Macaca mulatta: one gene and its partners. The protein of the gene in region 4 interacts with the protein of the main gene of each other region in a biochemical or structural test. Links are inferred from orthologs where the notes say so. Each region holds a gene or a part of one and is shown on either strand. Other genes may lie near its edges. The genes, in order: RASA1, SHC3, ABL1, ERBB3, NRG2, TXK and GRB7.

Region 1 (4,102 bases), on a different chromosome or scaffold from region 4:
TTCTCCATCTTGGTCAGGCTGGTCTCAAACTCCCGACTTCGGGTGATCCACCTGCCTAGGCCTCCCGAAGTGCTGGGATTACAGGCGTGAGCCACCGCGACCGGCAAAATTGGAATTTTTAACACTCCCTGAACACTCCCAGGGACTCTGCATTACAATGACATGAAATAAATTGTCGTGTAAAATTTGAACAAAACTCTGACGCAAGACTTGAACCCTTTATTGAGGAATATAAAAGGTGGAACACTACATCCCTATAACATGGCTGGCATAAATATGACTAACTTTACTTTTCCACTTTAAGTATCAAAAGATGCAGCCTTAAGTCAAAAATAGATGAGGGTAACAGAATCTTTTCCTAGTTTCAGTCCTTTCTAAATGCTCCAAAGAAGCTTATCCAAAAAAAAAAAGGCCGGGCACAGTGGCTCACACCTGTAATCCCGGCAGTTCGGGAGGCTGAGGCCAGCCGACCACCTGAGGTCAGGAGTTAACATACCAGTTTGGCCATATGGCGAAACTTCGTCTCTATGAAAAATACAAAAATTAGCCAGGCATGGTGGCATGCACCTGTAATCCCAGCTACTAGGGAGGCTGAGGCAGGAGAATCTCTTGAACCCGGGAGGCAGAGGTTGCAGTGAGCCAAGACCATGCCACTACACTGCAGCCTGGGCAACAGAGCTAGACTCCATCTCTTGGGGGCAATGGAGAGAGGAAAAAAAAAAACCTCTGAATTGTCCAGAATGACTGTCAACATATGAACCAAATCTTTCTTTCCTGATATTCACCAAGGTTGTTAAAATTCTAAGGGTCAATTAAGAGTTATACGAGAAACCTATAACAAGTTTTGCCTAATACCACTTCCCATCGCAACATTTTCATCAAGGTCCACCTTTATGAATAAACACCTAAGTTCAATTAAGACAAGTGAGGAGGTATTAACTTACATTAAAAAAAAAAGTCATTGTCCTGTATATTCTACTTAATTTTCAAATAGAATACTATACTGGCCACCAACAAAAAATGTTTAAGGGAAGCTCTGTTAATTTTGTTTTGTCTCACTGTTGTACTTCCAATGTCTCGACTATAAAAGCTAAGTGGGAAGCCTAGGGAAGAAGATACATTGTTGAAATAAAGGCGCTTAATCACACCTATAATTCACAGTATTCCTTTCCTTTCTCTCTGACCCAAGTTCTCATTAAGTGACCCACAGACTCTTCTAAACATCACTATGCTTTCTCTAATCAGAAGCTGGGATGTGCACTGAAATAAATACATTCTAACCAATACATTTTTCAAATTATTAATACAATACTCGTTTAAATATTTGTATTCAAAATTTCTCACTAATCATCTAGCTTTATCAAGTAACACACACAGGTTAATATACACTATGACTGCCTTGGTAGCCGCAGTTTGACTAAATCCTGGGACACCACTTCAACTTGGAAGGGACAGAACCATATCCGGTTCTCATCAGATACACATTTTCTCATACTTTCCATCTTAAAAACTTTACACCTTCCCAGAAGAGCAATAAATGTAGGAAGACGCCAGGTAGTATGCCTGTAAGGAAGATAAGTGATCAAAGAAACCTGAAACTTCAAAAACTTTTCCTAAACAAATCACAGATGAAAAAGACAAAGTATGGTTTACCCCATTTCCACTTCTTTTCTGGAGCCAGCTGCCCAAATTCCTGAACAGCAGTCTTAACTTACTGGTTAGTTGGAGGAGCGGTCAATGGTATGGCCACCTCTTCCTCCTCGTATTCTGGTCCATCCAGAGAGTCACCTTCGTCCACTGTCCCCAGGCCCGCCCCCAAAGGGGGCAGGTAAGGGGGAGGGGGCAGAGGGGGAAAACCGCCGCCTGGCCCAAGAGTCTCAGCAGGCAACGAAGTGGGCAGCTTGGTGAGAGCCATGTCTCCACTAGGTCCAGCGACAGCAGCACCGGCCACGCCAGCAGCAGTACCTCCCCCTGTCAGTCCGGCTCCCCCCAATGCCCCTGTCATAGACCCGGCTCCTAGGAACCCTGACCCCAAAGCGGCTCCGCCACCCAGAGTTCCAGCCACTCCAGTCTCCACCAGCCCAGGATAGGGGGCGGCTGCCACAGGCAGGGCCGCGGGTATCTTCACCCGACACACTGCGGGATAGGCACTGGAGCCCGCTGCCGCGCCGCCTCCTCCAGCTCCGGCTGTTACCGGGCCGCCCTCCTCACTGCCGGCCTCGGCCGCCATCATGTTGAAGCCCGCTCTACTCTGCCCTACCCTGCCCGCCCGGGAGCCCCGGGGGCCACCAGGCCCGGGCTCCGAGCCGCCCCACCCAGACGCGTCTCCCCTTCAGCTCCCCAGGCGGAGGAAACAACAACAAAAGGAGAGAGCCCGCCGCCGCGCCCCCTCCTAGGGCCACAGCCCAGGCTCCGGAGCTGCTTGGGTTACGGGAAGCGAAGTGGGCAAAAAACCCAACGCCTGCACAAACGCCACCCAAACCTCACGGCACACACCCACACTCACGCACACAAACACATGTACAGAAGCGAAAACTTCCTGGCTGCACTAAAGAGGAAAGGAAGCACAGGGAAAGAGGCTTAGGTGGCTATCGCTCCTTCAGCAGCCACCACCGCTTCTTCACCACCCCAGTTCCGGCCACCCACACCGCAGCCACCGCCGGTGCCGCTGCTGAGGCTGGGGCCACTGCAGCCGCTTCATCCTCCACCAGGCAGATGAGAGGGGTGGGGACAAGAGAAAGGGGGGCGGGGTAACAAGGAAATCGACTGAACTGCTCACTACCTGGAGCTCTCAGTGACTGAAACCGTAGAGAGAGAAAGGAAGGCGGGGCAGGGGAGGAGGGACGGAGGGAAGGAAGGGCGGAGGAGGGAGAGGGCAGCTTGTGCGCAGGCGCGTTCCCGGAACGGGGAGCGGGGAGCGGGGGGCGGGGGGCGGGGGGCCGGGCCTGGAGGAAAAGGAAGAGTCCAGAGGGAAGGAAGCGGCGGGGACGCGCGGTGCGTGGTCGCGCTTGCTGTCCTACTCCGGTTCCTAGCGTGCGGCGGCGCGGCCGCATCTCCTGTTGGCGTGGCCGGCGGCGCGCGCCTGTCTCCCGGGGCTTTGTTTGATGGGCGGGAGAAGAGGGAAGGGTACCTGAGCACGCGGGTGCTCGGCGCTGTGAAAGCCGGAGAGACGAGAGGGGGACCGGGAGGCGGCGGAGAGGAAGAAGGGGGAAAGGGAAAGGAAAATGCCTAGAAACTAGTTCCGTACTTCCTGACCGGTGGAAGAAACAGCCTTAGCCAGCAGCGCAGAGACCATGCAGGAGTCAGGTAGCTTTGAAGATCGGGGCAGTACTAAATGTTGTCTTTTTCGTTGCATGCTATAAATCACCATGACTATCTCACACACACACAGATAGAATAGATTCTGAAACTCCGAAACGAAATAAAGGGCACCATATGAGAAGGGTGGGGAATTTTGGTAGAAATAGTGGTTATGAAGTAAGATTTCTACTAGTATTTGCATAGGTTTTTCTTTATCAACTGTCTCATATACTTACCTATGCTATTATAAGTCTGTTGTATACTGATGAAGAGGAGGGGGTGCCACAGAAAACACTAATCAATGCACTTTTGTCCTCTGTGTGCAAAAGACTGCAGGGTGTGATCCGCAATGCAAGCACCTTCAACAAGTCAAATGTCAAGAATGTCTCAGAATGCCAGTTACAATTATATATCGTTTCTAAAGTAGCAATAAACTGAAAACTCATTTTTAATACAATTAAGGAGAAGAGTGTTATTTTGTCTTCTACACTAAAATGTATACAAACTATTACATGCATTCATGTACAGGGAGCTTCCCATGGTTTGAAATTAACGGTATTGTTATTTTAAATTCTCCCAGTAGTAATCCCACGTTGAATACCATTGGATATTGATCTTTGAGATCAGTATTTTCTCTGCTAAGGATGATCAAGCCAACACTCCGGATGGCAAGTGGTTGTGATAGAAACCAAGGAACAAGAGAAAAGACCACTGAAAGAGGTGGCAAGATACAGGCAATGCATTTTCTTTGTAAATTTGCGTAGGCCTATTTACCTAGTCGATGACAACGATCCAACTTGAT
Region 2 (3,500 bases), on a different chromosome or scaffold from region 4:
GGAGTGTGGCAGTGTGAGGCCGACCAAGCTGTGCGTTCTGCGTCGGGGAGTCAGGCTTCTCCGGTCCTTCTCTCGCTGCAGGTGAGTGTATAGATTTACTATTTGTGAATTTTTGTTGTTGTTGTTCATTATGTTATTACTGGGGAAGAGACTCTGATCTGGATATCTGGATTCATTGCACATCTTCAACTGGAAATAAAAAATAGTACTTTTTTTTTTTTTTGAAACAGAATTTCTCTCTTGTTGCCCAGGCTAGAGTGGCGTGGTGCGATCTCAACTCACTGCAACCTCTGCCTCCTGGGTTCAAGCGATTCTCCTGCCTCCCGAGTAGCTGGGATTACAGGCGTGCACCACCATGGCCAGCTAATTTTGTATTTTTAGTAGAGACAGGGTTTCTCCATGTTGGTCAGGCTGGTCTCAAACTCCTGACCTCAGGTGATCCGCCCATCTCAGCCTCATAAAAGTGTTAGGATTACAGGCTTGAGCCACCGCACCCAGAAAAAATAGTACTTTTGTATAAATGGATTTTTGGCCAGGTATGGATTGCAGGATTATGCCTGTAATCCCAGTACTTTGGGAGGCTGAGGCGGGTGGATCGTTTGATCCCAGGACTGTGAGACCAGCCCGGGCAACATGGCAAAACCCCATCTCTACTAAAAATACAAAAATTAGCCAGGTGCAAGGGTGCGTGCCTGTAGTTCCAGCTACTCAGGAGGCTGAAGCAGGAGGATGGCTTGCCTGGGAGGCAGAAGTTGCAGTGAGCCGTGATCACACCACTGCACTCCAACCTGGGTGACAGAGCGAGACCCTGTCTCAAAAAAATCAATCACTCAATCCATCAGTGGATTTTTTGGTATGGTCTGATTTTTCTTGGAGGATTTTCCTTGCAGAAATCCAAGGGTATTTCAACCCAAAACCGAAGAAGACTTTGAAAAACAAATCAGATGCCACTAAGACTCCATTTATTATTATTTTTAAAATTGATAATTCATATATAATCAAATCGCCCTTTTAAAGTTTACAATTCAGTTGATTTGTTATATTCAAAAGTTGTACAGTTATCACCATTAATTCCAGAACATTTTCATTACCCCCCCAAAGAAACTCTATACTCATCAGCAATTACTCCCCATTCTCCACTCCCTCCTCTCCTGCCAACCACTAAACTACTTTCTGTCTCTATGGATTTGCCCATTCTGGACATTTCATATAAATGGAATCATACTGTATGTATCTGGCTTCTTTCACTTAGAAGAATATTTTCAAGATTCACTCATGTAAGATCTGTCAGTATTTCTTTCATTTTAGAGTTCTTAGTAATATTTGAATGTATAGATATATCACCTTTTGTTCATCCAGTCATTAGTTTGTGGACAGTTGGGTGCTTCTACCTTTTTTTTTTTTTTGAGATGGAGTCTTGCTCTGTCACCCAGGCTGGCGTGCAGTGGCGCGATCTCGGCTCACTGCAACCTCCGCCTCCCAGGTTCAAGCAATTCTCCTGTCTCAGCCTCCCGAGTGGCTGGGATTACAGACACGTGCTACCACGCCCGGCTAATTTTTGTATCTTTAGTAGAGATGGGGTTTCACCACGTTGGCCAGGTTGGTCTTGAACTCCTGACCTCATGATCTGCCAGCCTTGGCCTCTCAAAATGCTGGGATTACAGGTGTGAGCCACTGCGCCCAGCCCTACCTTTTAGCTCTTATGAACATTGCTGCTGTGAAGATGTATACAAGTTTCTTTGTGGACATATGTTGCAATATTCTTATGTATATAACTGGGAGTGAAATTCTGTGGTCATATGGTTATGCTGAAACTGCAAAGCTATTTTCCAAAGTGGCTGCACCATTTTACAGTCTCATCAGCAATGTGTGAGGGTTCTAATATCCCCATGTTCTTATCAATACTTTTTCTTGTCTATCTCTTTGATTATAGCTACCCTAGTGGGGATGAATTGGTCTCTGGTTGTGGTTTTGATGTGCATTTTCCTGATGACTAACGATGTCGAGCTTCTTTTCTTGTGCTTATTGGCCTTTTGTGTATCTCTGGAGAAAAGTCTGCTCAAAACCTTAGCTCCCTTTTAAGATCGGGCTGTCTTTTCATTGTTGAGTTGTAGGAGTACTTTATATATTCTAGATACATGTCTCTTTTAAGATACATGTTAGCAAATATTTTCTCCCATTTTGCGGTTTGTATTTTTACTTTCTTGACATTGTCCTTTGAAGCACAACAGTTTTTTCAAATAGCAGAAGGGAGAATTTTGAGAGGTTCATATTCTACCATTTTCCCTCTTATCACTAAATTTCCATTTTGTAGTTGGTTTTGTTTGGGATCAATTTCATGGCTTACAAAAATGTGTGCTGTCCCTTGAGGAGCTGGCTATCCTTAGGCATAATTTCTTTCTTAATTAAAATGTCCTTTTACAAAAGGACCTCATTCAAACATGACTGAAATGTTCCAGTGAGTGAAACTCTGAATATGGCAGAGATCTTTTGCTAAACCACTCGTCTGCTTTTCATCTATGCGTGAGACCTGGATGGCTGAAGAGGCACTGACTAAACTCTCTTTTCTTGATAACAGGCGCTAACATTAGATTCGTTGGTTTTGGCTGCAAGCTCAACTTTTGGCTAAAGCCCTTGGAAATCTTCCTTTAACAGAATGCAGAGTCTGGATGAGCCATGGACAGAAGAGGAGGGAGAAGGCTCAGACCACCCGTACTACAACAGCATCCCAAGCAAGATGCCTCCTCCAGGGGGCTTTCTTGATGCTCGACTGAAACCCAGACCCCATGCTCCTGACACTGCACAGGTAAGTCTTATATTTTTTTCTCTGTATAAGGAATGGAGGCTAACTCAACTTTATTTCCTTTTGTTTTGTTTTTTTGTTTGTTTGTTTTATTTCAGGCTGATGTTCTATTCCATTTTTGACACGGTAAATCATGAACTTTCTCTCACTGGATTTCATGAGGCATGCAGATGAGGAGAGGCTTTGTGTGTGTTAACATCATAAAGCATTAGCCAAACGCTTTGGAACTGTGTTGTGATTCCTGGGATATGAGTCTGGGGGTGTCCTCTGTACCCTCAGATGTATTCCATCATACTGTGATCTCAGTGAGGGAAAGAGAGAATTTAAGATTTTAAAAAGGCTTGGGAGGCATTGGGTTCTCTGAAAAGGAGTGAATATAGACCCTTAAAAGGATGAGAATTTTATGAGTTTTCTATTTTATTCATTCCCTTGCTTTATGTCCAACTCAAAATTCTAGTAAGGCAATTGCTTTCTAGAGTTATGATATTTCTATTTTGTTATAGGAAATTTTTAACATTACTACCTTTTGTGAATGATAATGGCACCACTAAAAATGGCAAAATAACATCAAGCTCAGGGATCTGACACTGAGAGGGAATTTCCTGATTTTTTGAAGGAAGTTTCCTGGTTTACAGAGTGGACTTGCCCAAGTGTGAACAATCATGGGCGTATGTGTTATGTGGGAAGTGTGTTCTGA
Region 3 (4,126 bases), on a different chromosome or scaffold from region 4:
AAATTTGGGAGCCATCATAACACATGACCATATTGGCTTGCCTAAAAACAAAGCTAAAATAGAATTAATGTTTCAAGGCAAAGTAAAATCCAAGCACCCAGATTTATTTAGATGAAGTGAGTATTTTCTTGTAAGAAAGTAAAACTTCAACCGTCAAATGCAAGTTCATCCAACAGAAGCCTTTGTTGATTGCAGTCACCCAATGTTAAGAAGTATTTCTGAATGAATTTCAAACTATAAGCCACTGGCACACTTGATACGTTTGCTTATAGGATAGGTGGGCTCAATTGATTTTTTAATATAAAGGACACAATCTGAAAAATGGCAGGCTGCAACAGTACAAACAGTAACCCTAATTAATTGGTTATAGACATTAGTGTAAGCCGACCCTTAGCTTTAACTTCACACAGAATTACTGGACATGAACAACATAAAATGTGCTGTCAGCACTCAAATGCCAAATATGTTCATAAAAATGTCAAAGACAACTTTTATTGGCCCAAATGTCACTCTAAACAGGGAGAAGAGAGGATGAAAGCTTCATCAACGAGGAAGGGATTATTACTCCTATGGAAGGTAAGACAGAAGCTGTGTATCTAAAATTAATAAGGAATGCTGCCTCCCCACTTGATTTTTCCCACATGGCTCCAAAGTGAGTATTTTCAAGTCCCACTTATGATGGAAAAGGTCAAGGATATTAGCATCAACCAGTATCTATGATTCTTAACTTTACCAGAAAAACAAACCACTTTGAGAATATGATAAAAGCTCTCTGTAGACAAAGCAGTAAAGAATCCATGCATGTCAGAAGAGCCCTTGACTTCGGTGAGAGCAGAATCATAGAACCATGCATCCTAAGAAACAACTGAAGTCCAGCCCCTCAGGAAACTGAAGCCCTGGAACAGTAAAATGGCTTGTCCAAGGTCAACAGTGAATTCGCAGAGGAAGCAGGCAAGAAATAAGCAACTCAAATAGATTCTGAATAAAGCCGAACTCACGAAGTAACTTTTTCTTATACAAAGTAAGTTTCACCAGAAACTTGAGAGATAACTAAAGTAACAAATGTATTAAGTGGAATTGGAAGGAACTGTCGCAAGTACTATTATTCAAAGTTCCTTGAAGGCCTAAGATGAACGCATGAGGAAAATAATGAGCAGAAATTTTAAAAGCACTCACCATGTTCCACAAAAACATTGCAGTGTGGACCCCCATGCCTCGATGATTCCTTCTTCCCTGCTCCTTTGATAAAATGCAGGGCAGGCAAGCTTGGCCTTCTTTGGTCCCCAAGAACTTTTCCAGGCTGCTGCCCCATAAAGTAATAATGGGTACCCCTTTCCAGAAGAGGGTTCACGATCTTCCAGAACGGTCAGAGAGCGTAGAGGCAAATGGCATATACGCAGGATTTCACATTCGCTGCATCTCCACAAGTCAGCAATTGAAGTCAATCAGAGAAAGACCTCTTCCATAACAAAAGGAAGCACTTTTTTTAGGTTGACACTTGCAAGCAGGAGTTCCAATTATTTTCGCAGTTTATCAATTTTAAGTAATGTAATTGCAGTGTTACCCAAAAGTTTCTTGACTTTTTTTTTTTTTTAACGGGCTGAATAACAATTTCTTTTCAAAAAGAAAAACCTAAGCAGAAATATTCACAGGGGATGCTGAAAAGGGTCAATAATGCTAGTCATTTCAATTCCCACATATAAAGGAAACGCTGATCGTCTTTGGCTACTCCTCCAGAACTTTTCCTGTGGAAGTCACCAACCTCCTATCTTAGCTTCTTCATCTTCCAACAAATTTCCTGCCGAACTAGTGGCCGCTCTCGCTTCTCTGCTCTGCTCTCCGGAAAAGGACACGGGTCACCCAGATTTCAGCGAGTTTGCCCTCGACTCTGACGAAAAGGAATGCATTGCCAGCAACTTTTAAGTCCGCTTTTTAAAAGGCCTGTGGAACCAATCCAGACTTTTCCTTTGCATTAAAGTTTTTGGCTGACCTGAGACTAAGGGGGCCGTAGGTGACATTGGAAGAAGTCAGGGCATTAGAGGCTCGCGGGAGCCACCTTGGGGAAGGGGAGACCCCTTGACAGCAGGGAGGGATTTGAATGAGAGGCTCTGTGGCCAAAGTTGGGGCCGGGATCCGGAACAAGGGGCGGCTCGGGGCTGAGGGAGGCTGCCGGGGCGCGGCACGGGCGGCTTACTCCAGGGCGACGCTCTTCCACGCCTCGGAAAACGGGGTGTCCCAAGCTGAGGGTAACAGACCCCCAGTGTCCCAAAGCCGGGGTGGAGCTGTAAGGGACGAAGGACTCTCGCGGCCCAGACAGCGAAAGGCGGACGCCGTGTAGAGGAGGCCCGGCCGCCTCAGCTGCCCCAAGCCCGGGGGTCTCTGCCTGAGACACCCTCTCCCCCGGCCCCGGACGCTGACACCACCACCGCCCTCAGGCAATCACATCCCCAGAGCTCCGCCGAGGAACCCAGCCGCCCCCCGCCGGTAGGGGCCGTGGACAGCGGAAGGGCTCCTCAGTCGCAGCACCCGGGAACCGGCTCCGGCTCCAGCGCTGCTCAGGCACAGACACCGACCCCCGCGGCCGCCATGATGGATTACGAGCCGCTCCACAACGAGGCCAGGCCCCGCCTTCCGCCCCGCCCACGACGACGTCCGGAGCCCGCCTCAAGGGGACCCGGATGCCCTCAGGGCCGCTTTCCCGGGACACCGCCGCGCGTCCCGGCTCTGGTCCCACTGCCTGCGAAAGCCGGGCCCGGCACGACCTTTTAAATGTGGCTTCTTTGAGCGCAAGGTGAGTGATAAGGAAGCACCCGCCTCCTCTGTATTGTCATTGGCCTCCGAGAATCCGGGTCGGGCCTCTTTCCCCCGTCCCATTGGCCAATGGGGGCAGTAGGGCTGGATCTCCCAGCCAACCGTGTTCGGCGCAGTACGCGGTGCGTCCCGGGAGTTGTGGTCCCACGGCACCCGCGCGAGTCCTCCCGCACCGAGACTCCTGGCCCGGACCCCGACCGCTGGGCCTCGCCCCGCCCTCCTGGGACCTGGTGGACTCTCGCCGGCCGAGCGTCGGCTGGACCGCGTCTCCCCGGCGCGAGTAGTAAGACCGGGACAAAGCGAGGGAAAAACTGCGGATTGGATTTTCCTGGAACCGGAATCGGATGATTTCCTTCAGTCTCTAAGGGAGAAAATGTGGCTTGCTCCTAGAAGCCAAGGTTTTTGGTGCCTCTCAACCCCTTCACCCTCCAAAAAGCATAAATATTAGAACTAGCGGACGGGGCGCGGTGGCCCACGCCTGTAATCCCAGCACTTTGGGAGGTCGAGGCGAGCGGATCACCTGAGGTCGGGAGTTCGAGACCAGCCTGACCAACATGGAGAAACCCCTTCTCTACTGAAAATACAAAATGAGCCGGGCGTGGTGGTGCATGCCTGTAATACCAGCCTCAGGACGTTGAGGCAGGAGAATCGCTTGAACCCAGGAGGCAGAGGTTGCGGTGAGCTGAGATCACACCATTGCACTCTAGCCTGGGCAACAAGAGCAAAACTCCGTCTCAAAAAACAACAACAACAACAACAAAAAAAAACAACTAGCGAAGAAACATACAGAAATAGGGAAAACATCCGACATGTTGCTAACGAATTCAACTATTTATTTGGGCATTAGGAGGCTTACTCATTACAGAAAAGCCATTTGTTGGGTTTGCCAGGCGCTATCAGATGTTTGCCCTGGAACGAATCTTTAAGACTATAAACATTTCACAGGTGAACACGTATTCACATGAAAACATCCTCTATATTAGCTGAGAAAATGCCCAGATGGTTGGGTTTAGCAAGTCTACAGAACCAATGACCTAGATGTGCCAAACCCACACCTGATAGAATCCATGTTCTGCGACTAAAAAGCACCTTGGTTCCTATTGGCTCTCCATGTCTCCCCAGAGGGATGCATCTGACAGGAATCCCATTTCTTTCTTTTTTTTTTTTTTTTTTTTTTTTCAGATGGAGTTTTGCTCTTGTCACCCAGGCTGGGGTGCAGTAGCAGGATTTCAGCTCACTGCAACTTTCACCTCCCGGGTTCAAGCGATTATCCTGCCTCAGCCTCCCAAGTAGATGGGATTACAGGCACGCACCA
Region 4 (3,500 bases):
GTCAGGAGCTCAAGACCATCCTGACTAACACGGTGAAACCCCGTCTCTACTAAAAATACAAAAAAAAAAAAAAAAAAAAAAAAAAAACACTAGCTGGGCGTGGTAGTGGGCACCTGTAGTCCCGGCTACTCAGGAGGCTGAGGCAGGAGAATGGTGTGAACCCGGGAGGCGGAGCTTGCAGTGAGCTGAGATCATGCCACTGTACTCCAGCCTGGGCCACAGAGCGAGACTCTGTCTCAAAAAAAAAGAAGAAAAGGAGCAGACCGAGCATGGTGGCTCATGCCTATAATCCCAGCACTTTGGGAGGCCAAGGTGGGAGGATCACTTGAGCCCAGGAGTCCAAGACCAGCCTGGGTAACATAGCAAAAAATCTACAAAACATTTAAAAATCAGACAGGCGTAGTGGTTCACAACTGTAATCCCAGCTACTCAGGAGGCTGAAGCAGAGGATTGCTTGAGCCCAGGAGGCTGCAGTTGCAGTGAGCTGTGATTGTGCCTTTGTACTCTAGCCTGGGCAACAGACTGAGACCCTGTCTCAAAAAAAAACAAAAAAAATTCCCTGGGTACTAAGCAGGGAAGCCAGATCTTTAGGCTCCACATCTGTTACTCGTTCCACTAGAATATACTCCCTTCTCCTCAGAGCCCACCTTCCCCTGACCATTCACATGCATATATTCCTGCATATATTCAGTTTGCCCAGGAGGAACCAAGTTCCTGGGTTGGGACTGGGACTAAGATTGGCATTTGCCCCAGTCCCTCCCCTTCAGCTGCCCACTGGGTAGTGTGGAGGCGTGGCCCCACCCCTTGTTGACAGGTTCACTTGAGCCCAGCCCTGCTCTCCAAGGGCAGGGAGGGACACAGCCTTGGCTTTTTGCTTCCCGGGATTGAGGTGCCTGTGTAGTGACATCATACCCTGTTGATTCAAACAAGCCTTTCTTAGCCCTGATGGCCCCTTGTGTTGCCTTCCTTCCCAACCAGGTCCCCTCTGTCATGAGGTTTGCAAGGGGCGATGCTGGGGTCCTGGACCAGAAGACTGCCAAACATGTGGGTTTGAACTTTCCTCCAAAAACTTTACTCATACACTTTCATATCCCTTCCTCCCCAAGCCTGGGTCAATACTGCGGGGGAGGCATGAGCAGTGGCCTCAGGATTCAGTCCTAGGAGCCCTAACAGCCATGCTTTCTCTCCTTCCATAGTGACCAAGACCATCTGTGCTCCTCAGTGTAATGGTCACTGCTTTGGGCCCAACCCCAACCAGTGCTGCCATGATGAGTGTGCCGGGGGCTGCTCAGGCCCTCAGGACACAGACTGCTTTGTATGTATTCTTTCCATTGCCTGGGTTCTGAAATTGGGTTGTGGCCTTTGAGGAGGAGGTAGGGGTACACACATAACATAAATCTGATGGGCCTCCTTTTTTCCCAGGCCTGCCGGCACTTCAATGACAGTGGAGCCTGTGTACCTCGCTGTCCACAGCCTCTTGTCTACAACAAGCTAACTTTCCAGCTGGAACCCAATCCCCACACCAAGTATCAGTATGGAGGAGTTTGTGTAGCCAGCTGTCCCCGTAAGTGTTTGAGGGGAAGGAACAATGATCAACAATAGTAGTTCCAAGATTTTAGACAAAATTGTGGGAGGCAAAAAGAATCCAGTTGGTGATAAATAGGGAGATTGGTGAATGGTTATGATCATCTAACCACTCCAATGAGTGACCCCTATGTCCTGTCCTCCCATGACTTCAGCTATCACCCTTACTTCTGCTCCTTGTAGCAACAAATAGTGAAGAGACTTTCGAATCTACAGGGCAGCACTTAAGGGACCTAGGGTGGCAGATGGGGACAGATCCAGTGCAGAGCCGGAGGGAGCCCAGGCCCACAGCAAGGGTTCCATTGGTAGCTGGTAGTGTTCCTCCCTCATCTCTAATGGTGTTGTCCTCCTCTTCCCTAGATAACTTTGTGGTGGATCAAACATCCTGTGTTAGGGCCTGTCCTCCTGACAAGATGGAAGTAGATAAAAATGGACTCAAGATGTGTGAGCCTTGTGGGGGACTATGTCCCAAAGGTGGGTAGGAGATGGTAAGAAGTTGTAAAGAGACAGCCTTTCCTCTGAGCCTGCTCAGACCACCCCCACTGAATCTCTCTTACATTTACAGCCTGTGAGGGCACAGGCTCTGGGAGCCGCTTCCAGACTGTGGACTCAAGCAACATCGATGGATTTGTGAACTGCACCAAGATCTTGGGCAACCTGGACTTTCTGATCACCGGCCTCAATGGGTTAGAGATCCTGCCTTCCCTCCTTAGACCCCAGCCCATGCACCCCTCACAGTTCATTTCACTGGCCTAAACTTTCCTATGTGGAGCTGACTAGGAATCAAAGTCACAAAATTCTAGCCTGTTATAAAGGACCTGAAAGAATGCTTAACACATCCTCCATCCAGGCCTTGGGTCCCCTCAGGAACATCTTTGAGCAATTGAATATCGCCCTGTCAAGGAACAAGGGACAGGAACAGCATATCCTCTTTCTGAAAGTTTTCTTTTTTATTGTCTTTTCTTTTTTGAGATAGAGTCTCGCTCTGTCACCTAGGCTGGAGCGCAGTGGCGTGATCTTGACTCACTGCAGCCTCGACCTCCTGGGCTCAAGTGATCCTGCCACCTCAGCCTCCTAAGTAGCTGGGACTAGAGGCACACACCATCATACTCGACTTATTTTTTTGTATTTTTTGTAGAGACAGGGTCTTGCTATGTTGCCCAGGCTGATCTCAAACTCCTGTGCTCAACCGATCCTCCCATCTTGGCCTCCCAAAGTGCTGGGGATCATAGCACCCAACCTCCTTCTTAAAGTTTTCTAAAAGTTCTTCTTTAAATTTGGATAAAAATCTGTCTTCAGGCTGGGCACGGTGACTGTAATCCCAGCACTTTGGGAGGCTGAGGTGGGCGGATTACGAGGTCAGGAGATCGAGACCATCCTGGCCAACATGGTGAAATGCCATCTCTACTAAAAATACAAAAATTAGCTGGGTGTAGTGGCGCATGTGCCTGTAATCCCAGCTACTCGGGAGACTGAGGCACAAGAATCACTTGAACCCAGGAGGTGGAAATTGCAGTGAGCCGAGATTACACCACTGCACTCCAGACTGGCAACAGAGCGAGACTCCGTCTCAAAAAAAAAAAAAATTTCTGTCTCCCTGTGACTTTTAGATGTTTTCACTCATTCTGCTCCTTGGAGCAGCAGAACAAAGGGACTTTCTAGTCTGTAGGACAGCACTTAAAATATATGTGTGTGTGTCTGTGTGTGTATGTGTGTGTGTGTCAGAAAAAGAGAGGGAAAAAAACACTATAACCACCTGTTTTTTTTTCCTTTAATTTTTTATTTTGACATAATTTTAGATCTACACTGAAGTTGCAAGAATGGTGTAAAATTCCCCATATACTTTTTTTTTTTTTTTAATTGAGACAGAGTCTCAACTCTGTCGCCCAGGCTGGAGTGCAGTGGTGCCATCTCGG
Region 5 (3,500 bases), on a different chromosome or scaffold from region 4:
GGGGTCTCAGATTCTTAAAGCAACAGGAGAAGGTGAAATCACCCACAGTTGGAAAGGGAAGAAAGAAAATAGTGATGCCCGGCCAGGCGTGGTGGCTCAAGCCTGTAATCCCAGCACTTTGGGAGGCCGAGACGGGGGGATCACGAGGTCAGGAGATCGAGACCATCCTGGCTAACATGGTGAAACCCCATCTCTACTAAAAAATACAAAAAACTAGCCGGGCGAGGTGGCGGGCACCTGTAGTCCCAGCTACTCAGGAGGCTGAGGCAGGAGAATGGTGTAAACCCGGGAGGCGGAGCTTGCAGTGAGCTGAGATCTGGCCACTGCACTCCAGCCTGGGCAACAGAGCAAGACTCTGTCTCAAAAAAAAAAAAAAGAAAAGAAAAGAGTGAGGTCCAAAGTTCAGGAAAGTTCCAGCATTGATGGCAACTAAGAAACAGTGTCCAGACTCACAGCAGGACCAGGAGGAGCATCACAGGGCCTGGGGAGCAGGTGTTCCTATGCTGAGGCCATTGAGAGGCCTGGAGGCCTGAGCCAGGGAGTGCAGAGATAACTGGGGTTTCTCCAGGGCCACAGCCATCGAGAGGTTGGGATGTAAGTGAAAGGCAGATTCCAGCAGGGCAAAGAGTGAGTGGAGGATGAGAGTGTGCAGTCAGTGGGCATGAGGCTAGCTCCCTCAGTGACTTCATATGGTGGTGGAGGGCGGAAGTGAGATGGGGCAACTGCTGGAGGGCCAGGGGAGCAGCAGCGTGGAGGGACAGCATTTGAGAAAAAAAGTCACGGGTAGGGAGAGAAAGTTGAAGTTACCAGAGAAATGAGTGAGTTGGTGGTACCAGGGCTCTGCGGGTGTGTGTGTGTGTGTGTGTGTGTGTGTGTGTGTGTGTGTGTGTGTGTGTGTGTGTGTGTGTGTGTGTGGAGTGTGGGAATGTGCGGGAGGGAGGGTGAGTATGAGTGTGTGGCACCAGGTAGGGTGGAATGATGATAGGCAGGTTGTAGACATGTTTGGGAGTCATGAGGAGGGAATGGGGGCTCTCTTGACTTTTGTCACTGCAGTGAAGTAGGGGAGAAGCCATCTTCTAGAAAGAAAGGATAGGAAGGAGACAGGACCCAACTGCCCCAGCTCCAAGAAGCCTGCCCATTCTCTTCAGCTTGGAGCCAGCCTTGGAAGTGCAGTGAGAAGGGGCAGGGTGGTCTCAGAGGGTGGGCTGGGTGGGCAGCCAGAGCTTCTTGACAATGCTGTAGACTAGGGACACATAGAACCCCCCACTCACCACTGGCCATGGTGAGTTCCTTAGGAAGCGGCATTCTTTTAGCCACAAACCTTTGATCTAAGCCAAACCCTTCCTTAATTACATTCTGTTTTCTGCCAGGATCATTTTCTAGAATGATCAGTTCTACTTCTGCTCCCCATTCTTGGAAGGAGAATCAGAGAACTGGAAGTAACTCTCAGTCCCCTGACTCCTTCATCCTCTTTTATAGGTTCCAGAGTCTGAGGGCCAGAGGCAGGGCGTGGACATCCAGCCCCACACGGCAAACCCAAGCAGCCGGCCCAGCCCAGGCCCTCTACCACTTTTTGTTGTGGGCAGGCTGGTGTGCTCTAAAACCATCCTAATTTGCATTTTGTGTGTGTGGTGGGGTGGTGAGGAGGAAAATGACAGCCAGGAAGGGAGTGGTTGTAAGCTGCCTGGGAGAGAGGGCAGAAAAGGTTTGGGAGCTCCTGAGTCAGAGAGGGAAGGCCACTAGGTCCCCAGAGCCAACAGAGCAGACATCAAGTAGAACGCCTGTTTAGCTGGCAGGCACGGGTTTTCCCCCTTGCTTCTCCTTGAGAGGCAGGAGAGAGGTGGTGGGCTGCCTTGGACTACCGGCTTCTCTGGTGCCAGAAGCCCCCTGCCTGACCCACCCAAGATGAAAGACAGGCCATCTTCCATAGCCTGGAGACTCAGGCAACTTCTCTGATTCACTTCCTTGGAGCACGGATTCAAGATCAAACACAATTCTCATGTTTTAGAGGGAAACCCTCTGAGGAACAGAGTTCTCCAGCACCAATCAAAGTGCTGCCCCTTTCCCCTACCTAGCTCTCTGACAAGTGACAGCTTGCAAGCTGAGAAACCAGCCCATCATGTGTGACCTCCCAGAGGCATTCTGGAGTCAGGGTCTTTCACCAAAGATTACCAATGATGGGGCTTTCAGACGCTGCAGCAGGTCTTTCAAGAAGTTTTAGGGGTGAGCAGGGTCTTCCACTGATCAAGCTGACTGTGACAGTCAAATTGCCTTCAACTATCCAGAGAAGTTAAAGGCTTAATTCTTGTCTGTGGTCTGCAAGACCCTGGGCCACCATGACCAGAGGGTCCCTGAGCTGCAGGAAGAAGGCTGGGAGTGGCAAGGAAGGGGAGTAAAGAGAGGGGCTGGGACTGGTTCCATGGGCGAATCTGGGGGCACAGCCCTGGCCTCTGTCCAGTTCAGGCCCCTCCTTCTCGAGAGGAGGGAAGGCAGCCGGTTGGACGGAGGACAGGCTGGATATTGCTTACCTGCCGTTGCCATATTTGATGCGAATGTCTCGGCTGCGGTTGAGCTCCTTGCCGTCCTTGAACCAACGGTAGGAAGGTTGGGGATTACCGGCTGCTGCCTCACACTTCAGCGATTGCTTCTCACCCACCTGTCCCGTCTGGCTCTTCATCTTCTTCAACTTGGGCCGGGTGGCTGTGGGGTACAAGGCAGGTAGGTGAGCATGGTGGTGGCAGGGGCAATGCCAAGCATGAGTAGTGGACAGTAAGGGCCACTGTTTTTGGGCTGGAACTGGGGAAGGGAGGGATGATCCTGAGAGCCACCCCTCCTGGTGTCATTCCCTAGTTCGATTCAATAAGCATTTACAGTGAGTCTGTCATGACATCAATGTAGTTATAACTAATGGAGAGTTTCCTTCATGCCTTGAATGGTGTGAAGCTTGACATTAGCTTATGAAACCTTCATAATAACCCCATGAGTTCACAGCAATGGTTAAACCCACTTACAGATGGGGAAACGGAGGCTCAGAATGGTGAAGTCACTTCCCTAAGGGCAGATGATGGAACTGGGATTCAAACCCAGATCTCCTTGACATTGGTGCTCAAGATCTAAAATCATGGGTAACAAGCCATGGGGCTGTACTGGTGGGCTCAGGCCCAAGCACGGATGCAAAACTGCAAATGCCAGGCTGAGAGGCTGTCCCCATTTTTCTTAAATGCCATTCTATCTCCACATGCCCCAGTCTCCCATGTTTCACTTCCTTGCTCCTCTCCCCACCACCAAAAAAACAAAACAAAACACACACACACACACACACACACCACAAAAGAGAAAGTACCCTGTTCTTAGGAAGGTGAGGCCAAGCCAGTGCTCATGCTGAGGTGTGTAACAATTTCCAGTGGGATAGTCCCTTAAAGGATACACAAAGCCTTCATGCAGGTTCTCGTTTGGTCCCTGAGCTCTGTAAGGCAGTGTCATACTGACACTGATGGTGC
Region 6 (4,177 bases), on a different chromosome or scaffold from region 4:
GGACCTTTTTTTTTTATTAACAGTAATACATCTTGAGGCATCACTTAGCTGTCTCCTTGTCAACAGTAAACACTCATTGTTTTACCCAGCAGAAAATGTAGCCACATTCAGCTGCAATTGACAGTAGACAACAGGTGATTCTTATCATCAAATCAAATTAACAGACGCTGGAAAGGAGAGTGAGCTTTCATCAAAGCCATGCCAGAGAGAATAATCCTCAAAATACCCCGCCAATAGGTAGTCCCTTATTTAATCCCTTGGGCAATCAAATCCTTGTCTCAACCTTCACAATGATTTATTTTATATATAACCGAATCGTTCCTGCTGTAATTTACAGCATTTTCTTTAGTTCTGACCTTGACGGAAATAAAGAGCAGATGCTCACACAGCTTTTAACATTTAAAGATTCTTAAGTCACTGTTGAGCTTGTCTTGCCAGTGGGGGTGGCAGGGGACACAGGTTGCTGCTTTTTCACTTTTTCTGCTTTGCTCTGCTTGGCCTATATTTCTGTTAACAGGAGCCTTGTTCTTATCTGCGTGAATGGAAGACTACGAGTTATTTTCAGGTCAGCACAACTGGAATAACGTGGTCTATTTATTTATTTATTTTTTTACAAAATCTACAAACAATTGTTGGCTCCTGTAAGGGGATTTGGCTTAAATAGATGACATTTAAAAATTACAATCATTTTTTCCTTAATGCCACCTAAAAGTCAGAAATGTAAAAACTTGACTTTTTTTAGCTGGCCTTTGATTGCTTTAATCTGATATGACTGAGCTTTGTTGAAGCTTGGTTCCATCATCATCTAGTATTAAAATCAAAGACAGTATTTTCCTTCCTTATCTGCAAAATAACGCCCTCTGAGTCTTAGAGATAAATTAACAAGTATTTCCAAAACTGAGCAACTCCCAAAATAAAGTTCTTAAAGCACCTCTTAGGTTTATTGTTTCTTTACATTTTGTTGCAAGGTGGCCAAAAAGGGAGTCGCCTGGGCAAAAGTTCTAGTTCTGGATTTTGTCCAGCATTTGTGGATCACGGTTGGCAGATTTATATGTATACAAATATACACATACACATACACACACTCCCTTTGAGAGCTTATTTATATATACAAACTTATATATGTGTGTACATATGTGTGTGTGTATATATATTTTTATATATATATATATATTTAAGGCAAAAGGAAGAGCGCTTAAATCCCAAGTCCGGCAAGTCTCATGCTTGGCCAGGTGTGGTGGCTCACACCTGTAATCCCAGCACTTTGGGAGGCTGAGGTAAATCATTTGAGGTCAGGAGTTCGAGACCAGCCTGGCCAACATGGTGAAACCCTGTCTCTACTAAAAATAGAAAAATTAGCCAGGCATGGTGGCGTGCACCTGTAGTCCCAGCTACTCGGGAGGCTGAGGCAGGAGAACTGCTTGAACCCAGGAGGTGGAACTTACAGTGAGCTGAGATCACGCCATTGCACTCCAGCCTGGGTGACAGAGCAAGACTCTGTCTCAGAAAAAAAAAAGTCTCATGCTTAAATCCTGAGTGTGACAACCATGTGAGCTTTTGGTGAGATTTAAACTTTCAAAGGCACTATTTTCTTATTGGCTACATAAGAATAACAATTTTCACCTTGCCAGTTTGTAGTGAAGCTTTCAGATAATGAATATAAAGGAACTGGTATAGACCATGGCCCATGGTAGGTGCTCAATAAATACCTTTATAAAGAAACAAAGATATTGCAATTCTGATATGATGGCTGCCTTCTTATTTAGAAGACTATTCTGCTTGTTTTTCTTTTTATTCTAATTTCTTTGGATTTATAAGCATCCCCACGGCTCTTTCAAACCAAGGATCTTCACAGATAACAGCATCTAGGGAATCTTTCTCTGTTCTCCTAAAACTAGCACTTATTTTTAACGGTGGTCTTATATTCTATAAAAATATTAAAATAACATCTTCATATGTAATATTATATATGAGGGAAAGAGACATTTAAGCCAGTGTTCACACTCGACCATGTTCACACTCTTAACCATGTGGAGACTCATGACTTTGACTCTTATTTTTGCCTTTACTCAGGCTCTGACTGCAGGTAAGAATCAGTTTTGCCTAAATTTCAATTGCCTGGGAAAGGTCCTCAATAACGGATGTCTACACAAAATTGTGAATAAATACTCCTGTGAAAATAAGGGTAAGTCTATATGTTTACATGATAAACACAGTTGTGTTTTAACCTCTCTTCCTTTTGCCTTAAATATATTTATTTGTGTCTGTGTGTGTATTTATATATATATAAAGTTGCCAACTGTGATCCACCACTGCTGGAGCAAATCCAGAACTAGAATTTGGTCTCCTGGCCTTCAGTCCAAAGTTCATTACAGTCTCATTCTAAAAACAAGTACTTCACACTGATTGCATTTCTACACACACATATGTAGATTCCTGGACATTCTTTTGTTTTTCTTTCATTTATGTTCTCAATGCTGAACCTTTATTAGAATTACATCACCACCGTGGTTCTTTAAATAAGAAACAAAACTCTGTCACAACATCTGAGGAAATTACCTTTTAATGTTCCCAAGCTCTGTGCCTTAGAAAGAAAAACATCCTCTGCTGTTCAAGAAGAATAGGTCCAGAACAAGCCCCGAAAATAAATTGAGAAAGCTCATCTTACTCACAGGAGGAAAGGATCATGGCAGCCCCTTCTGCAGGGAGCACACAACAGTCTTCAGTTCTTCTGCAGTGCTCCACTCACAAAAACACATCTTTCAACTGAAATCATAGTTCACTCAAGATGTTTCTCACGGGCAGAGTTAACCCCACCTATTTTCCTGTTCTGAAAACCTCAGAAGAGTATAAATGACAACCAATGGCCTATATAAGAAAGCTCAGTAATCTCCATCCCAATCTCTGAGGGTGTCTGCTATTAGTCTCTCATCCCCAAAGGTGTGGGTGACTCGCAAACATCATTTTCAAGAAATCACAAAATTTTGGTAAAAGGCACCTTTAAAATCATCAAGTCAAACTGCCCTCTCTGGACTGGGAAGGAAATGGAGGCACAGACAGAATAAGGGACTTCCCCAAGGCCACACTCTGAGTGGCAGAAACAATTAGATTCTAGGCTCTGGAATATTGAGTTTAGAATGTTCCATCCTCCCACTCAGCAGACACTTTATTTGGGCGAAGTCAATCTAGTAATAACCCTAAAATGTGATTGGGGGATGACTGAGAAATATAAAAACACCAACAATACAAAACACACTTGGGAGTTTCACTTCATCCCACTGGAAAGCATAACTATGTGTTAACTAATTAACAGAACAACTTTTTTTTTTTTTACATAAATTAACCCATTTATTATAGGCCAGTGATGTCTCAAAGAGTAGAGGAGCATCTACTGGTCTTTCAACTCCTTCAGTCTTCTGATGGCGGACTTTATCGTGACAGCGGAAGTGGTATTGTATGTCCAGGCACTGCCAGCCACTGTCTTCATGCAGGAACCACAGTGCCAGATCCCCACAGCTCGTCTCTTCATCTTGGTTTTGCCACAGAAAGAGCAAGTGTACTTGGTGTGCTGGCTGATTTCAATTTTCTTCACCATTTTCCGGCGGGAGGCCCCATAGCGGGTCCCGTATTTACTGATGATCCAACTTTCTTAGTACATTTGGCCATCTCGCCACGAACCAGGTCCGAGCCCAGAGAGCAACAGAACAACTTTAATGAAGACACAGCATATTCCCATTGCCCTTCCAATCTCCTGTTTAGATTAGGGTCTCCTTAGCATTCTGGGTGATGACTGTTATTTTTACTTCCCCTTCTGCCTTAGTTATGCTTTCGTATAAAACCTTTTTTTTTTAAGTCTTAGTGAAAAATATTTAAAGTTTTTTGAAGGAAATGTTCACAAATGTTGCCAGGTACTATCTATCTTGTTTTCCCATAAAAAGCATACATTGACCATTAGGGTAGGGACTCTTATCTTCTCCTCACTCTCTTTCATACCACCTAGTACTTCCCATAGCTCCTCAAGGTGAAAAAGGAAGTATGGGATGGCAGGAGGGAAGGAGGGAAGGTCAGGAAGGAAGGAGAAAAGGCTGATAGTGATAGTAAGGTAGAGTGTGCCAGGACCGACTCCTTGAATAAGCTACAAGTCAGTTAAAAGTTGTGCATGGTTAGCAACCAAAAT
Region 7 (3,500 bases), on a different chromosome or scaffold from region 4:
CTGCAGAGGCTGGAGCTGGCACTCTCAAGACCTCACCTTAGAGGTGCCCTTGGTGGAGTAATAGAGGCCAGATCGGCGCAAGAAGCAGAAAAAGCGTTTCCAAAGCTTCCGTCCTGAACCCCGCAGCTGCAGAAAGCCCTGGATCTCAGGGAAGCTGCCAGCATTCAGGAAGTTCTGAGCCAGAGAAGAGAAGAGAGTGGGAGGTCTGGCCTCCTCCCTTCCCCTCTACCACCAGATGTCTTCTTTTTCTTTTTGAGATGGGGTCTTATGCTAGTGCAGTGGCACGATCACAGCTCACTGCAACCTTGACCTCCCGAGCTCAAGTGATCCTCCCACCTCAGCCTCCCAAGCACCTGAGACCAGGCTCATGCCACCATTCCTGGCCTTTTCCTTTTTTTTTTTTTTTTTTTTTTTGGAGAGACAAGGTCTCACTATGTTGCCCAGGGTGGTCTCAAACTTCTGGGCTCAAGTAATCCTCCTGCCTCAACCTCCCAAAGTGCTGGGATTACAGGCATGAGCCACCACACCCAGCCCACCCTCAGGTTTTTACAAGGAAATGCTCCACATGCATTTCTCGCCCCCATTTAACAGAAGAAACTGATGCTCAGGTAGGGAAAGTGAGTTGTCCCCAGTCACACAGGACTGTGGTTTGGCTCTTTCTACCACATAGAGGGGAGGCACAGGACCTAAGGGCGGAGAAGCACTGGTCAGTTCTGGGGAGTCGTGAAATGGGGGGGGGTCTCCCCACCTGGATGAGGTCTTCATGGGATATACCAGTGTGTGCATCGAGACAGCTGGAGACCATTTTTTCTGGGAACAGGGAGTGCTGAGGGTAGAAAAGTGTCAGGGGTCAGGGCTCCAGTGTCCGGTTCAGGCTCAGGGCATCCCAGCGCCCAGACAGCCCTCACACACTCACTGGGGAGCTCTTGAACAGTTCGTACTTGGCGAAGTTTTTCCGGAAGACGAAGCGGCTATCTCCGCCCACGGGCCAGGCAGCCTGCACTTCCACCACGGACTCGTGGTCCTCCAAACCCCGCTCTGGGGTCAAGGGCAAAAAGCAGGGGTTATTGGAGATCAACCAGATCTCCCAGATGAGTCACATGCCTAGCCCAAGATGCGAGACATCACCTCCCAGCCTGGGTAGTTCCATGCACCCGACTTACCCAGTGCTAGGTGGGGGTGGCACTCCACCAGCCCCCAGGTCTCGTCGCTCAAAGCGTGAGCTCGCTGCACCAGCATTTCACACACATGGCGAGCTGTGGCACCTGCCGCCACCTCCACAGACCTGCAGGCCCCGTCCTCACTGTACACCTTTACTACCTGTGCCCCAGGAATTGCAGATGACTTGAGGGGAGGCAAAGGGTGATTCCTTCCCTTTCCGCACCTGCTAGACCCTCAGGGACTCCTAACCAAGATCCCCCGCCTCCATGGAAATGGCTGTGTATCTCCCACAGATCCAGAACCCTGCATCCCTCCCTTCCCTTCTGAGGGACAACTCACATGGGGGCGGCTGGCATCGCGGGGGAGCAGCCCTCTTGCACTAGAGGGGCCCCCAAGAATGGGGCTCTGTGAGGGAGGACTGCAGAGCTCAGGGAAGGGGTTGGGGATGGAGGGGAGGGAGGTGGCACGCCGCTCCTCCTCTCGAAGTTTCCTGTGGCAAGAAGAAAAAGGGAGAGAGGTGTGGGGAAAGGAGCAGTGGCCTGCAAGCCTCTGTGTATTATCCAGCACTGACCTCCCCCAAGCCCCACATCCCATCGTACCTGCCGGTGGTTGGGATGAGGAGAGGCTGGGACCTCTTTACCTCCTCAGGCAGAGAGGTATCAGGGGGCCGGGGAGTCCCAGGAGGGGTCCCGGGGGCTGGGCAAAGGTCTTCCGGAGAGCTGCCAAGATGAGGTGGAGACAGATCCAGCTCCATGGCATCTGAGGGAGAGAGGGGCAGAATGGAACCAGTTGTGTCAGTTGTATGCCCTTGTCCTGGGGAGAGGGGACTAGAGAAATCAGACCTCCTGACCTCACACGGTGGTTAGGGTGCCCCTCAGAGTTTACCTAGCACCTCACTGCTCTAACTGGAGTTTCCCTGAAGCCCTTGGGGAAAGACAGAATGAGCCTCATTTTATAAAAGGGGACACTGAGTCTCTGAGAAGGAAGCATTCTTACCCTCAGTCACAGGTGAGTCGGGGAGTAGAACCTGGTGCCCTGAGTCACAGGTGAGTCAGGAGTAGAACCTGGTGTTTAGACTCCAAGTCCAGTGCTCTTTCTGGTTTTTTTGTTTTTTTTTTTTTCACTGCAACCTCTGCCTCCTGGGTTCAAGCGATTCTCTTGCCTTAACCTCCCGAGTAACTGGGATTATAGGTGCATGCCACCATGCCCAGCTAATTTTTGTATTTTTAGTAGAGATAGGGTTTCACCACGTTGGCCAGGCTGGTCTCGAACTCCTGATCCGTCCGCCTTGGCCTCCCAAAGTGCTGGGATTACAGGCGTGAGCCACTGCGCCCAGCTCCAGTGCTCTTTCTTTAGCACAAAGTTGCTCACAGGAAGAGCTGAGGGTCCACCCACCACAAGCCTGGTGGTCACAACAGATTTCACAACCCACACACTCTCAGGCTCAGCCCTCAGGGTCAGGGCAAAGGTCCACTCCTTTGCCTCCACGCGTGGGGCACTCACTGCTCCAGGCACTGCCCGGGTTTTTCCAGCACTGTGTTGCCAGACCCAGTTGCCAGAGCCTGTTCGTACTTGGTGAAATTTGGCCTGCCCAAGTGATGAGTGATGCAGGGGGGAGAAGGAGGTGGGGAAGGATGGGAGCCCGAAAGTCAGGAGAGCCGGCTCCGCTTCAGTGCAAGGGGGAGAGCAGACCTGGGGTAGGTGTCCTGGCCACAGCAGCCCCTAAACCTTGCGTACCCTCCCCAGGCCATCCTCCTGCCCAACTCTTTCCTGAGGCTCCAATGCTAGAGCCACTTCCTCTGAGAAGCCTTCCTGGCTTTCCACATTCTGAGTGAACGACTCCCTCTCAGCACTGTGCAGGGGCTACATCATCCATTACTGCGCACCTGTCCTATCCACTCATTTGTCCAAGGGCACCCGGTACCCCCAGGCAAGGCCAATCTCACCCATGTCTTATCACTTACAGGGGCTGCACAGACACTCAGGACAAGTAAAGACAGGAGGGCCGGCAAAGGCGAGCACTAGAGGTGGAGGTGGGGCTGGCCCCTCCTCCTCAGGAACCAGGCAGACCCCTTTGGCTGGACTGAGACCTGGGAGAACCTGCAATCCCAGCCCCTAGCCTGTTCTCCGAACACTGGGCCAGTACTATGAGGCCACCTGGGGCACCTGGGATTGACCCCTCAGGAGGGCGCAGGCACCTGACCCCTCAGTGAGGGCATCAGGGGATTTGGGGGACAGGTGAGTCAGGGCAGGCGGGACAACACTGCCTAGGGCTCTCCATTCAACCTTGACTCATCCACACAACTTCCTGGCTTAGGAGAAACAAAAACAGCCCTGCC

The links.
Region 1: the proteins of ERBB3 (region 4) and RASA1 form a complex in vitro, tested with the Homo sapiens proteins (2 studies listed by BioGRID and IntAct, with this or other methods). The link is inferred for Macaca mulatta from reciprocal best matches to the Homo sapiens genes ERBB3 and RASA1.
Region 2: the proteins of ERBB3 (region 4) and SHC3 form a complex in vitro, tested with the Homo sapiens proteins (2 studies listed by BioGRID and IntAct, with this or other methods). The link is inferred for Macaca mulatta from reciprocal best matches to the Homo sapiens genes ERBB3 and SHC3.
Region 3: the proteins of ERBB3 (region 4) and ABL1 form a complex in vitro, tested with the Homo sapiens proteins (2 studies listed by BioGRID and IntAct, with this or other methods). The link is inferred for Macaca mulatta from reciprocal best matches to the Homo sapiens genes ERBB3 and ABL1.
Region 5: the proteins of ERBB3 (region 4) and NRG2 form a complex in vitro, tested with the Homo sapiens proteins (2 studies listed by BioGRID). The link is inferred for Macaca mulatta from reciprocal best matches to the Homo sapiens genes ERBB3 and NRG2.
Region 6: the proteins of ERBB3 (region 4) and TXK form a complex in vitro, tested with the Homo sapiens proteins (2 studies listed by BioGRID and IntAct, with this or other methods). The link is inferred for Macaca mulatta from reciprocal best matches to the Homo sapiens genes ERBB3 and TXK.
Region 7: the proteins of ERBB3 (region 4) and GRB7 form a complex in vitro, tested with the Homo sapiens proteins (2 studies listed by BioGRID and IntAct, with this or other methods). The link is inferred for Macaca mulatta from reciprocal best matches to the Homo sapiens genes ERBB3 and GRB7.

The regions. Positions count from the first base shown.
Region 1 is NC_133411.1:93,646,054-93,650,155, reverse strand, and holds the start of RASA1 (ras GTPase-activating protein 1), read right to left. Parts: upstream 2,801-4,102; 5' UTR 2,234-2,800; coding exon 1,716-2,233; exon of another isoform or gene 1,659-1,715; coding exon of another isoform or gene 1,654-1,658; intron 1-1,653. UniProt on the Homo sapiens protein: Inhibitory regulator of the Ras-cyclic AMP pathway. Stimulates the GTPase of normal but not oncogenic Ras p21; this stimulation may be further increased in the presence of NCK1.
Region 2 is NC_133420.1:119,720,977-119,724,476, reverse strand, and holds part of SHC3 (SHC-transforming protein 3), read left to right. Parts: intron 1-2,655; coding exon 2,656-2,806; intron 2,807-3,500. UniProt on the Homo sapiens protein: Signaling adapter that couples activated growth factor receptors to signaling pathway in neurons. Involved in the signal transduction pathways of neurotrophin-activated Trk receptors in cortical neurons.
Region 3 is NC_133420.1:16,870,050-16,874,175, forward strand, and holds the start of ABL1 (tyrosine-protein kinase ABL1), read right to left. Parts: upstream 2,801-4,126; 5' UTR 2,019-2,800; coding exon of another isoform or gene 1,920-2,018; 5' UTR 1,313-1,919; coding exon 1,177-1,312; exon of another isoform or gene 1-1,176. Other genes in the region: uncharacterized protein LOC144335005, read right to left, coding at 1,920-2,018. UniProt on the Homo sapiens protein: Non-receptor tyrosine-protein kinase that plays a role in many key processes linked to cell growth and survival such as cytoskeleton remodeling in response to extracellular stimuli, cell motility and adhesion, receptor endocytosis, autophagy, DNA damage response and apoptosis.
Region 4 is NC_133416.1:63,238,372-63,241,871, forward strand, and holds part of ERBB3 (receptor tyrosine-protein kinase erbB-3), read left to right. Parts: intron 1-978; coding exon 979-1,044; intron 1,045-1,196; coding exon 1,197-1,315; intron 1,316-1,422; coding exon 1,423-1,564; intron 1,565-1,944; coding exon 1,945-2,058; intron 2,059-2,149; coding exon 2,150-2,270; intron 2,271-3,500. UniProt on the Homo sapiens protein: Tyrosine-protein kinase that plays an essential role as cell surface receptor for neuregulins.
Region 5 is NC_133411.1:148,740,656-148,744,155, forward strand, and holds part of NRG2 (pro-neuregulin-2, membrane-bound isoform), read right to left. Parts: intron 2,701-3,500; coding exon 2,529-2,700; intron 1-2,528. UniProt on the Homo sapiens protein: Direct ligand for ERBB3 and ERBB4 tyrosine kinase receptors. Concomitantly recruits ERBB1 and ERBB2 coreceptors, resulting in ligand-stimulated tyrosine phosphorylation and activation of the ERBB receptors.
Region 6 is NC_133410.1:47,627,543-47,631,719, forward strand, and holds the start of TXK (tyrosine-protein kinase TXK), read right to left. Parts: upstream 2,801-4,177; 5' UTR 2,689-2,800; coding exon 2,673-2,688; intron 1-2,672. UniProt on the Homo sapiens protein: Non-receptor tyrosine kinase that plays a redundant role with ITK in regulation of the adaptive immune response. Regulates the development, function and differentiation of conventional T-cells and nonconventional NKT-cells.
Region 7 is NC_133421.1:64,095,106-64,098,605, reverse strand, and holds part of GRB7 (growth factor receptor-bound protein 7), read right to left. Parts: intron 2,692-3,500; exon of another isoform or gene 2,158-2,691; intron 1,975-2,157; exon of another isoform or gene 1,921-1,974; 5' UTR 1,916-1,920; coding exon 1,761-1,915; intron 1,652-1,760; coding exon 1,501-1,651; intron 1,321-1,500; coding exon 1,164-1,320; intron 1,039-1,163; coding exon 917-1,038; intron 827-916; coding exon 749-826; intron 175-748; coding exon 37-174; intron 1-36. UniProt on the Homo sapiens protein: Adapter protein that interacts with the cytoplasmic domain of numerous receptor kinases and modulates down-stream signaling. Promotes activation of down-stream protein kinases, including STAT3, AKT1, MAPK1 and/or MAPK3. Promotes activation of HRAS.